Linked DNA regions of Coturnix japonica. The protein of the gene in region 1 interacts with the protein of each later gene in a pairwise test. Links are inferred from orthologs where the notes say so. Each region holds a gene or a part of one and is shown on either strand. Other genes may lie near its edges.

Evidence for each region.
Region 2: the proteins of RTN1 (region 1) and UGCG interact in a two-hybrid assay, tested with the Homo sapiens proteins (2 studies listed by BioGRID and IntAct). The link is inferred for Coturnix japonica from reciprocal best matches to the Homo sapiens genes RTN1 and UGCG.

The regions. Positions count from the first base shown.
Region 1 is NC_029520.1:49,711,193-49,717,773, forward strand, and holds the start of RTN1 (reticulon-1), read left to right. Parts: upstream 1-2,625; 5' UTR 2,626-2,937; coding exon 2,938-3,127; intron 3,128-6,581. UniProt on the Homo sapiens protein: Inhibits amyloid precursor protein processing, probably by blocking BACE1 activity.
Region 2 is NC_029547.1:58,821,274-58,827,260, reverse strand, and holds part of UGCG (ceramide glucosyltransferase), read left to right. Parts: intron 1-3; coding exon 4-105; intron 106-472; coding exon 473-585; intron 586-2,286; coding exon 2,287-2,465; intron 2,466-2,869; coding exon 2,870-2,956; intron 2,957-3,380; coding exon 3,381-3,570; intron 3,571-4,885; coding exon 4,886-5,056; 3' UTR 5,057-5,987. UniProt on the Homo sapiens protein: Participates in the initial step of the glucosylceramide-based glycosphingolipid/GSL synthetic pathway at the cytosolic surface of the Golgi.

The sequences.
Region 1 (6,581 bases):
TTTTTCATTGCTGTTCCATGAAGGTGTTGGTAATGATAAATGCTGTGCATGGGGGTTCCAGGTGAATCAGTGCTCCTAATGAGGGGTTTGGGAAGCTGCATGGAAATCAGTCTGGTGAAGTCACTAAAGGTATTGCTGAGTACTGCAGGAACACAGGCAACAGTGAATCTTTGTCTATCTTGTCATCTGTTGCATTAAAAAATTGAAACTGTCATCAAAGGTGCATTTTCTAGCTCAGGTGATTTTAGAGGATGGGTTTTGTGGTGGGCAACCCTGCCCATAGCGGGGGAATTGGATCTTTGAGGCCCTTTCCAACCCATGGCATTCTGTGATTACCAGGAACTAACTCAAAGTAAAACTGAATTTGGCAGACTATGCTATGTTGCATCCTTCTGTAAGTGCTTTAATGAGGCAGTGGCTCAGGAGGAAATTTGCTGATTGCCTTTACCCTCTGGATAGCCATATTTCAGCCAAGGGGTTTGGAGCAGTTTTCTTCTTGTAGCCCAGATGGTGCTGCATGTAGTGGTAAGACATATGCTGCCCTGAAAAGTAAAGTGACCTATATAATAATCGCTGATCTAGAAATAGCACATAAAGCAGACCAAGACAAGTAGGTTTGAAGTTGTCACTTTTCAGTAACTCATTGGACTAGGGAGCTCAAAATGAGAGAGAAATACCCATTCCATAAGTTTCCAGGGCAGGCAGAGCCTGGAGAGACCTTGTGTGAACAGGTGCAATTGGCAATGGTGTGCTGGGACAAGCTGTCCCACCAGTGCTATCAGGGCAGCTCAGAGACAATAAACTCAGTTTACGGCTGCTTCAGAGGTGGGGTTGGTTGGTTGTGTTGTGTTTTGTTTTAAGGGCAATATCACAGTAACATTGTGATTTCCCTTTCTGAAGCCAAATTGAACTGATCTTAGTCTTCAGTAGCTCCACACTAGAACTATACCACGCAGCCCTACCTACAGTAGCACCTTATTACTTACAACTATGCTTGCTACTTAGAGCTTGAGACCACAGAGTTTGTCTGAAGTCACAGCAGTCACCTGGCTTGTGTGGTTTGGCTGATGCTCAGCACGTTGCTCACGCTGGAACCTCAGTGCTTTGGTTCCCAGCCTCCCCAAAGGCTGAGGAGCCCATCTGTGGAGGGCACAGGGGAGCTGGCACCGAATAGCACTGATTCAAGCAGCAGCAGGACGGCTCCCAGAAACAGATCCTGGACCGGAGTCAGGAGGTTTAGTTTGGATACAAGGAGAAAGTTGTTTACAATAAGGGTTGGCGAAACACCAGCACAGGTTGCCCAGAGAGGTGGTGGATGCCCCATTCCTGGGGACATCCAAGGTCAAGCTGGACAGGGCTCTCAGTGCCTGAGGAAGCTGTAGGTGTCCTTGTTCATTGCAGGGGGGTTGGACCAGATTTCTTCTAACACAATTCTGATTCCTTGAGATTGTTTGAGAAGGTAATAAAGAAGATGGAGGCTGCTTCTAAGGCTCTTCATCTGGCAGTATGAGCTTACCCTAAATTTCCTCCCCTTTCACACGGATAGAGTAAAAGTGACTTAAGTTTCCAAATCCAGGTGCAAGCGTGGCTTCCTGAAGCTGGAGAGGATCTGAAGCATGGCTGGGGATGCTGGGACATGAACACAGCAGGTCTGTTGCTGCAAGAGCTGGTCTAATTGAAGTTGTATGGCTGGAGCAACAGCTCCCCACCTCACAGCTTGACTCTTCACATTGTAAGAGTCAGATCCTGAAATCCCATTTACAAAATTCCATCTATTTTTTGACCTGTCAGTGCCAGAGCTCTGTGCAGTGCAGGAATGGTCTGATACCACCTGGCTGAATTACAGAATTGTTTGAGTGGGAAGGGACCATTAAAGTCCAGCTGGTCCCACTCCCCCGCAATCAACAGGGACATCCACAGCTCCGCCAGGTGCTCAGAGCCCCTTCAGTCTGAATCTGGCTGTCCCAGAGATGAGGCACTCACTGCCTCTCTGGGCAACCTGTGCCTCACTGTCCTTACCACAAAAATCCTGTTCCTTATATCCAACCTCAATCTGCACTCTTTTGGTTTGAAAGCACCCACCGTGTCCTGTCACAATAGACCGGACTTTGTTTGCTCTGTAAAATGACAGCATGGTGCTGGTTCCCAGTGCACCTGACAAGTGGCACAGATCCCTTCTGCATTTCTTACCAATCTCTCCTTAATTGCAGGGGTTCCCTGCACCACCTCTGCTAGCACAGCTTGCTTATGAGAATCAGTAAGAATGAAAATACAATAAAGAAAGAAAGAAAGAATAAGCAAGGCATGCAGACACCTGCTGGGAGTTTATTCTGACAAGTGTCATTTACATGCAGGAAGCTGTGATCGTCTCCCTGCAGCGCGGAGCCAACCGCACAAAGCCGAGCGCTCAGCGGCGGACTGTGGCTCCTCCTGCTCTGCCGGTGGAGATCGGGGGCAGTTGGGAGCTCGTGGGATGCGCGTGGCCGTGGGGCTCTTTGCCCTGGAGGTGGAAGGGAAACCAGTGCCATCCCCACGGTGCTGCGCTGTTGTAGCGCGCTGTGCGGGACTCTGTCGCGGGAAGAGATTTAGAGGCGGGGGATGCGCTTGCCTGGAAGGGTCCGTGTTCCCCCCGCGCGCTGTCCGTGCCTCCCCTGCCGAAGCGGTTAAGTGGGGGAGAGCAGCAGCCAGGCTGGCAGATTCCTGCCCTGTGATATGCCAGCCACAGGGTGACGCAAGGGCTGGAAGGCTCCAACTGAACAAGCCATTTTCACCTGCGTAATACGCGCTAGTGGAGATACGAGCGACGGCAGCGGCGGCTCCGAGTCCCGCAGCCGGCCAGACCCAGCGCGGCCGCGCAGCAGCCCAGCCCTCGGCGGCCACTTTCGGTGGCTCCCGCCGCAGCCCGAGAGCCGGAGCCAGCGGCCGCCTGGCAGCAGCATGTCAGCCCCGCCGGACCCCCAGGACCTGCTGCTGGCCGGCACCGCGGAGCGCTGGGCTGCGGCCGGGGCGGAGCAGAGCGCGGCCGGGGCTGCGCTGCGGGATGGAGACGGGGCTCAGCAGCGGGAGCAGCCGGCGTTCGGCTCCGCCAGGGAGCACCCGCCCGTCGCTATGGCGACTGCATCCCCAGGTAAGAGGCGAGGGGTATGATGCTCAACAAAGGGGCCTGGCGGCAGCAGCATCCCCTGCCTCTGTCCCCGTCCCTCCCCCTGCTCCTCGCCCAGCCCTGCTGCTTGAAAACATCGCTAGCGAGTTAGCGAGCGCATAGAAAAGAGCGAGCAATCGCGGCCTCTGCAAATTATTATCTGCTGTGGTGGGGGAGGGGGACGCAGGACCCAGCCAAGTTCCCCAAAGCTTTTTACGATTTGCTGGGCAAAGGCAGTCCGGTTCTCAGTCGGATGTAGGAAGGCATTGGGTTGCAGTTCAACTTGGTGGGGCTCCGTCCTCGCTTGTCTTACACCTGTACACATCCAGAGTGATAGATGGCAAAGGGGTCACTTCACGTATTCCTTACGCACCTGAAATTCCTACATGGCCCCGTGATGTTATTTCAGCACTCAGATTTTAATGGAGTGACTGTTCTGAAGTGGTGTTATCTTTTCTGCATGCTTTTGGAGATAGCATTGTAACAACAGACTTTTGGATTGCTGTTTTAGGGTGTACCTAACTTAAGGTGCGTTTAGTTGAGCCAGGCTGTGTGGGTTCGTATATTTTTTAATTTACTTTGGAGATGTATTTGATTTCCCTTGGTTTGGGGTTCGTTTCTCCAGTGGGTGTGCCAACAGCAAGTGTGCGTGGATTAATGAGGCTCAGAGGGCTTTGGCTTCCAGTACATCCTGATATAAATGCTTTGGGGAAAGCGGCTCTATTTCCTTCTTGGTGATACTTGCCCACTTTCCTCTCCCTCTACTGCCCACCTGGGAACTTAAATAACAACCCAGCCCTTGGGAACCTGGTGGATCCCATCTAGATTTCTCTTCACTGGGAAGCAGGTGTTTCCATTATACAACCTGACAGCGTTAAACTTGTGTCGAGTAAGTTGAGGGTCAGGGCTTGGGACGGGAATTGGTCTCGTTATGCAATAGCTGCAGGAGCATTAGGAACTGCGTTTTTGGGCAGAGTCCTTCCTAATCCCCTTCAGTTAATCAGCACAAAGAGTAGCTGGCCAGAATAATCAAGAGACAGCGTGGCTGTATTATTCTGCTCGTACTCATCTGTGTGTTTCTATCAGGATGTGATTGTGCATCTGTGCATGTGTGCTCTCTCGACATGGATGTTTCCCTGCTGCTTTTCTGTCTGCTTAATGCTACCGAGTTCAGTAGTAAAATGGGATCTAATTCCCATTGGCTGCTGTGGGAAATGTTTTGCTGTTTTGTAGCTGTTTTGTAGCTTTGGGCAGGCAGAAAATCTGCTGATGTGCTGCTCGTTCACTGATCTGAGCCGGAGGTTGTGGAACGTGACTTCTTGCTGGCAAGGGAGGCAGATGGTATTATAAGGTTGCTCGGGGCACGAGTCATGTGCATGGGGTCCTGAGGTTGGGCTGCTCAATGGTGCAACGACACGAGGAAGGAGGAAGAGATCACGTGAGCTTTTGTTGCTCACTGATGGATAAAAATACGGCCATGCTGAATCTCAGCATACAGAACAAAAAAAGGCTGATCTCTGAAATAGTGTAAGTCCCAGTAGACTGAATACCTGTTAACATTTAATGGAAGCTTCTTAGTCTTATTTGTAGATTCAGGCTTAGAGAGTGCAGAATAGAAAGAACGGTAGGATAAAAGAAAAAGAAGAGAAAAGGAAAATAAAAAAGAAAAAGGAAGATAAAGATGAGGGAAAAGGAAAAAAGAAAAAGAGGAAAAAAAAAAGCCTGCTTTAGTAATTATCTGCAAAGGGACTTTGCATCTATTTGTTAGCATCTGTCGAATGGTGGCAAGGTAGAGATGAAGTGAGCAATGCAGACCTTTCCTGATGTTTGCTGACAGTCAGTGTGATTAGCAACATCTTGAGAGCAGGAATGTGTTTTACGTATCTTTCCTTTTGTTTTCCGTGTTTAATAGGTATCTGCTATGTGTGTTTGTGCGTGTGTGTGTTAAGTGTGTACGTGTGCCAGACACAGCAGCAGCCCAATCAGTGGATCTCTGTGCCTGCAGTCTCTATTTGTGGCTGCAGTGCCTACATTTCTGTTCTACATTACCTACACAGGGAGAAGTGCAGCATTTCACGATTCTCTGTGTGACTAAATGTTCTCAAGTTGCTGAGTAAGAGTTCTGTCATATTGCTGAACATCTGAAAGGGATGTCTGAAAGGGAAGCTGGGAAGGATTTCAGAAAACTCTGTAATTCTGCTGCTTAGAGGGGACTGCTGCATGTTCCTAAATGTAGCCATGAACCCATGAAGGATACCTGGCTCCATAAAGTGCTATAAACTTAGAACTCTTGCTACCTAATGGAGCACCTGGGGACAATTCAGGCAAGGAATAAGGCATCCAAACAAGAGCCAACCTGGCCTGTTTGCTTTCCAAACAACTCCCAACACATCCTATATCTTTCTCTCCAGCTCTCAGACAAACCCTTTTTGTAAAGACCACTGTTAAGCTCTTTGAGGCAAGAGAAGGATATGGAGACTGGGAGATTCTCCCAGCATGAGAACAGATGATGGGAATTTATCACAAGATGTTCAGAGATTTTCTTACACAACCTAAACATTTGCAAACTTTCCCCGACCTGGGCTTTTGTTTTAAGTTTGAAAACCAGCCAGGGATTGTTGAAAGGTTCGGGAATATTTTCAAGCTGGCCTTAGGCCCAGCCTTGAGCCAAGCTGGCTTTGTGTCAAAACCTTGTGAGTGGTTTCTGAACGATGAAAAGCAATGGGTTTCACTGCGTGTTCTCTGGATCAACCAAAATCTGCAGTGATTGGAATTACTGAAGAATATTTCCCACAAAGAGTGGAAAGCTCAGAGATTTCTCAAGCAAAGCTGGGGTGATAAGGAGCTGCAGATCTCACAGCTGCTTCTCCTCCAGCAGTAAAGATTGACTCCAGTATATTCTGGGTATGGGCAAAGCAGAGTTCCTCCTGCTTTTACACTTGGCCTCTAGATTTTGCTGACAATATTCCACTCTTTCAAATTGCTCCTTCCTGAAGATGAATTTGGTTTAGGGTGAGAGGAGCTTGCAGGCAGCTCTTGCAAGGCCTGGGAGCTGTTTTGTGTTGATGAAGAAGAGCCCCATATCACCCAACACACCATCTGGTCACAGATTCTGTTATTTATTTTTATACATCAACAGTGATTAAAATTCCTTGAAAAGCATTACTTCCAAAAATATGACACAGGCTGCCAGGCATTTCCCAGAATAAATAAATAAGTTAACGTGGTTTCCTTCGGAGAGATGGCAAAAGGTAAGAAGGGACTCTGCCTCCATGGTGCAGGTGCAGGGTAGTGGGGGAGTCTCTGTCCCTTGAGATATCCAAGGACTGTGGAGATGTGGCACAGAGGGGCATGGGCAGTGGGCATGGTGAGGGTGGGTTCACAGTTGGATTTTGGTGATCTTAGAGGTCTTTTCCAACCTTAATGATTCTGTGACTGT
Region 2 (5,987 bases), on another chromosome or scaffold:
AAGGTGGTAAGAAGGTTGGCATCAACCCCAAGATTAACAACTTAATGCCTGGCTATGAAGTTGCTAAATATGATCTAATATGGATTTGTGATAGTGGAATCAGAGGTAGGTGTGTACTATAATGTGCTGATAGTCTTATTGCCCTACTCCATGTAGGTTAGCAGTTGTAGAAGATTATTTTAACTGAGAGCAGAAATAGAAATGAAGTCTGGAGAAGTCTTCACAGAATAAAAATTTTAAACCTCTAAGGATGTTGATCTTATTTTTGAAAATACTGTTCTTATTTTATTTGCTGATCATGAAATAGTAGTAATGATTAAGTTATTACTGACAGATTGTTGCCCCAGTGTGACATGCACTAAGCTGTACCTGCTCTTGATAATAATGTTAAAGTCACAATATTGTTTCATAGTTGCCTTCTGCTAATGATGGGATTGCTCAATTAACTGTCATTTTCTCTTTTCTTGCTTAGTTACACCAGACACTCTGACAGATATGGCCAACCAAATGACTGAGAAAGTAGGATTGGTCCATGGTCTTCCCTATGTTGCTGACAGACAGGGATTTGCTGCCACCCTGGAACAGGTTAGTGGAGTGTGTGTGTGTGCATATATATATACATGTACTTAATATATTGCTGACTAAAAGTTGTGTAGTGCCTCTTCTACTTCTCAGTGAAGGGAGGTTTCATTTACTTTTAGCAGCAGTTGTGCTTTGGACTGCCTAGGACAGCTTGTAAATTAATACTCCAGACATTAATTCAAATCTTGTTTGCTATACAGAACACTGTGTAAATATAGGATTTTATTTTAATAAATACGGGGGCTTTAATAACTAGTAAAAAGTCTATGAACTCTCTACCTTTAACTGAACTTTAACCTTTAACTTTAAAACAAAAATGACTGTGAGTTAGAGAAAAGTCCTACTCACAGTAGTATCTTATAAGAGGTTATAATCAGAACCTTTGGGAACAGGACCTGAGCAAGGTATATGTTCTGTTTTCCCTTAATACTCTATTAGCTTTCCAGTATTTTCAGCTGAGATGCACCCTATGCAAGAAGTAGTCTTTTCTTACATGAACTTTTACTTTTTTTTACTTGAATCGATGTAAATCTCTACCATCTCATCTGTCTGTATCAGGAAGTTTCTTAGATCTATGTTACAAGCATCACTGCCTTCTTAACTCTGAACCTTGCTCTTCTGTAGGGCTATTTTTGTCTCCTAATGCTTGTTGAGAAAGAGAAGGTGAAGAGTTGATTCTTGTCCACCATCTTCATATCACTTAATGTTATCTGTCCTATTCTTCCCTCTCAGTTCTCAGTATGTTCTTCTCTGTAGAATGAGGAGGCTGAGTTTTGTCTGTTCCTTGTGTGTCAAGGCAAATAATTTAATCACTCCTTTTTATGCTAAGCTGGCATAGATAAGGCATTTTGGTTCTATTCTAATAGTCAAATGTGAGAGAAAAAAGCATGGAGAAATTCAGTAAAGAGAGGGTACCCTGAGTGAATTTTTTTTGGAGCAGAAAGTCTAAATTGATTTTCTTAAAAGAAGAGAGCAAGAAGCTGTAGCACACAACTCTTATTATTCCTACTTGCAAATAGCATTCTAATTGCTGCTTCTATGCTCCTGGAAGAACTGTTTGCTTCTAGTTCCAGTGTACCACAAGGTCACCTTGCCTTTTGTTGAATAAGCTGGTGTGTTAGTGAGACCATCAATAGGATGAATAGCACTAAGATGCTAGAACTTGCTTCAGCTATGTTTTTGTAGGAAACTGCTGACTTTATACTAGGTCTTCTAAAATGCAGCTTTTTCAGTCTGAAGTGTCTATTTGGCTATTTCATCTTGTTGGTACATTAAACAAAAATTCTGTGCTTCTGTACTGCTGTGTAGTAAGCATCTATGAAGTTGCAAGAGGAATGAGACAGTATGTCTGTTAGCTGTAAGTGAATAATATATTATTTGAGTGATTAGTAGTTTGAGTTTTAATATATGTGTTACCTGAGAACAGCCTAAATTAGAAATTTAGTGTTGAACAAAATATGGCAGTTCAATATAAAAATTCAAGCTGTGTCTTAAATCCATAGAAACAGAGTTCACATCTATTAGATTTCTCAGATTTAGTGTTAAGTTAGACTTCTTACTCGGATAGTGAAGAACTTTCCAAATATTAGATCATTACTGGATATGTTTAGAATTTTTTCCTTCAAATACATACAAAAGAGAGAATTGTCAGTAGTAATGGCCTAGCTACATGTAGAGCTCAAAAACCTTATCTTGTTTTTGCAGGTTTATTTTGGAACTTCACATCCAAGGTCATATATTTCAGCCAATTTAACTGGCTTTAAGTGTGTAACAGGAATGTCATGCTTGATGAGGAAGGATGTCTTGGACCAAGCAGGGGGACTGATTGCTTTTGCACAATATATTGCTGAAGATTATTTTATGGCCAAAGCTATAGCAGACCGGTAAGATCACTGCAGCAGGCTTTTGTTTGAAATACAGTTTGTAACTGTTTTCATGTGTTACGTGCTATACATGTAGGTAGTCAGGTCAACTTCATGTGTATGTACCAAGCGTGTTTATGGCATATGCTTTGTTCTGTCAGTTATTGGAGAGATATACTCAAGTCCATATAAGCTGCTTTAGAAAAATGTTTGAGACATTTAATTGTTTAAGACGTTTACTGTTCCCCAAGTAAGAGATTTGGTAGAAACATATTTAATTTTTTTTGCTCTTATGCATTGTAATAATATGGCATATATACTAAAGAAAATATCGAAGCTTAATAGAATTCTTAAAATGTTTGTTCTATAACTGTTCTTTGAGTTTCTTATTTGCATGTTTTTCATAATGCACACTTATTTTTCAGAGGGTGGAAATTTGCAATGGCCACACAAGTTGCAATGCAGAACTCTGGTTCATATTCAATTTCTCAGTTTCAGTCCAGAATGATCAGGTAAAATTTTAATTCTTGCTTCCTCTCTCTTCCATTAATGTCATCTGCTTCTGTTGTGGTTAATCTAAAAATGGAGTGAATACTTTCCCAAACTAATTTGATGATAATGTGAGGAATGCTATAGTTTCATTGCATGGCTAAAGGTGCTGACTTTCCAGGGAAGCAAGACTCATGCATGAGTAGTTTGGTTTGTTTTTTTAAACACTAAAAGCCTAAGAAGAAAAAAACACAATAGCAACAAAAATAAACTGGTTTCAATGCTTTACATAGTGCTTTTAAAAGGCTGATTTTTTTATTTTTTTTTTTCCCCATGTTTATTTTGGAAGTGTAAATTAAACAAGAATGATGGCTCATCACCTGACGAGTTTCGGGAAGAGGTTGTAAGAAATTACATGTAGTCTGAACTGTATTTTTTTTTTCCTAGATGGGCCAAACTGCGAATTAATATGTTACCTGCCACAATAATATGTGAGCCAATCTCAGAGTGCTTTGTTGCCAGTCTGGTTATTGGTTGGGCAGCTCATCATGTGTTCAGATGGGATATAATGGTATTTTTTATGTGTCACTGCTTGGCCTGGTTTATATTTGACTACATTCAACTAAGAGGTGTTCAGGTATGTCACCTTTCTTTTCAGAGATTATGAAAGAACGAAGAGATAAATGTGATTATAATGACAAGATACTTCTCTTGATATCATCAAGGAAGTGCTTGGTCAAATCCTGTTACCTCTGCTCACCTGCTAACTTTACTTAGAGTAGCGTGAAAGGTGTGCTTGGTTGTGATCTTATTTTCTTTGTGTACTTACCTCTAACTAGCCTCTGCAAGTTGACTTCTGTCTCCCTTTCACATTTTTGCAATTGTGTTTCTGGTCTTCTCTACTTTTAGGCATGCCCAGAACTCTTGGCTTTATTAAAAAGTAAAAGAACAGCAGCTCTGGAATTGTAGTTAGTTTTAAATCTTTAATTGTTCTTCTGTCTTTTGTATCATGAAGCTTATATGTACATTTTATGTACACTTAAACACATATATCTCTTCTGTATTTTGATACTGGATGTAGTCTAATTTTAAGAAATATAACTTCCTTATCACTGGAAGAAGGGAGATTTCAGTAAAACCTTTAATATTGAAATAGCACAAATCAAAAACACTTGCTTTTCTGATGCTGTAGTTCTTCAGGCTACTGTGTCTACTGTGACCCTATTCCATCTAAATCTGATCCGCAGTTATTTGTGCGTACAAACTATGAATGAATTCTCATCATACTGAAAAACATTCTTGTTGTAGTTTTAAGAATTCCTGGAAGGAAAGTCTAGTTCTACTGATGGAGTAGAACACTAGTTTGACGGTCATTTCTCTGATTGCTGTAATTGCTGCATGATACATACATGGTGCAGTAGAAGAACTTTGAGCCTGTTCTTCCTCTTCTGAAGCCTCTTCAGTTTGCAGCTCTGTATGTAGCTGGTAAATCTCAAAGGAACAGTCAGTTCAGAAGGGCTGTCTATAAATGTTTTTAGATCTTTTTCCTATTCAATAAGCCAAAAGCTTGATTCTTCTAATTTCACTCCCTTGAGCATGTGTGGTGGCATATTCTTTAGGTCTGTGGTATAAACCTATTGCCTGCTCTCAACACAATTTTACAAAGCTTCAAAAGGAACTATAAATTGAAATTGTGACTCTTCTTTGTCTTTTGCATTGCATACAAGTCACTTTTTGAATCTTTTGGGTCATTCTGCCAAATATCTCATGTTTAACATGGGTAATCATATCTTGAAGGAGGAAAAACTTCTTAGGTTCTAAAAAATAGAATATGCTTTTGATAATGTCAAAGTGTATGTTAAGCCTTAGAGTAGATTTATCTTTAATAGAAATTACTTCGAAACTCATTTGGAATAGTTAGTATGCTTAAATATTTGTTTTTGTATTCCTAGGGTGGTGCTTTATGTTTTTCTAAACTTGATTATGCGGTCGCTTGGTTCATCAGAGAATCCATGACAATTTACATTTTCCTGTCTGCTTTGTGGGACCCCACTATTAGCTGGAGGACAGGACGCTACAGGTTACGTTGTGGAGGCACTGCAGAAGAAATCCTTGATGTATAGCCACAGCTTTGTAACTGTGACTGTCAAAAAGAGAAAGGGGGATCGAAAGTATTATAAATTGTTTATAAAAGTACTTTTAAGAAAATCTACCTTCAGTAGTTTTACTACTTGTATGTTTTGGTATCTGTTCTTTAATTTATTTTTTGCATGGCACTTGCATATCTGTGAAAATACATCTGTAGTCTTGGCCAAATGGTATTTTGCTCCTGTGTACAAACAGAAATGGAGAGAATTTTTTTCTGATACATATCTGCTACATGAATACTCTGCAGTGAACTTTTCCTTAAAAAAAAATAAGTATCCTTCTGGATATGAATGGCTTCTTACTCCATGGTCTGCTGGCCTAGCAAAGCCAGTGGTCACATTACTATTGTCCAGCTGGACTGCACAAGGCTGTACCTAGTAAAGTCACAGGAAAAAGTACATCTGATTTCTATAATATCCCACCAAATTGAGCTAGTAACAGGACCTTGGGAAAGAAGCTTAAATGCTTTATGCCTACCTCTTGTAGTTGCTGCAGAACAAAATGAATGGAAAGTAAAAACGCTTAGCAAAAACAAACTAAAATAAAGCTGGAGTCCTGTGTTTATATGTATATATGAAATACTTTAGTTGTTGCAATGAACCAAAAGTGGACTGAGTTTGATAGGATGAGCTGAAAGGCATTATTGGTCAGTCACGTATTGTGAGCATCTTTTGGCCAACTCTAATCTGGTTCGGTCTTGAACCTTGTTAAGCACTGTGCTGTAACTAGCCTAGCTGGCCCCCTTCATTGTTTCCATCCTTTTTATGGGGTGTTGTGGCTTTTTGTGTGTGTGTGAGTGCTTTGACTGGGAGTGGTAGGGTGGGGGGTGTGTGTGTGGGACTCACTAAAGGACAGAAGGGAGCAGAAATACATTTCAGAAACATTTCACACAAGCTATTTTCTTAA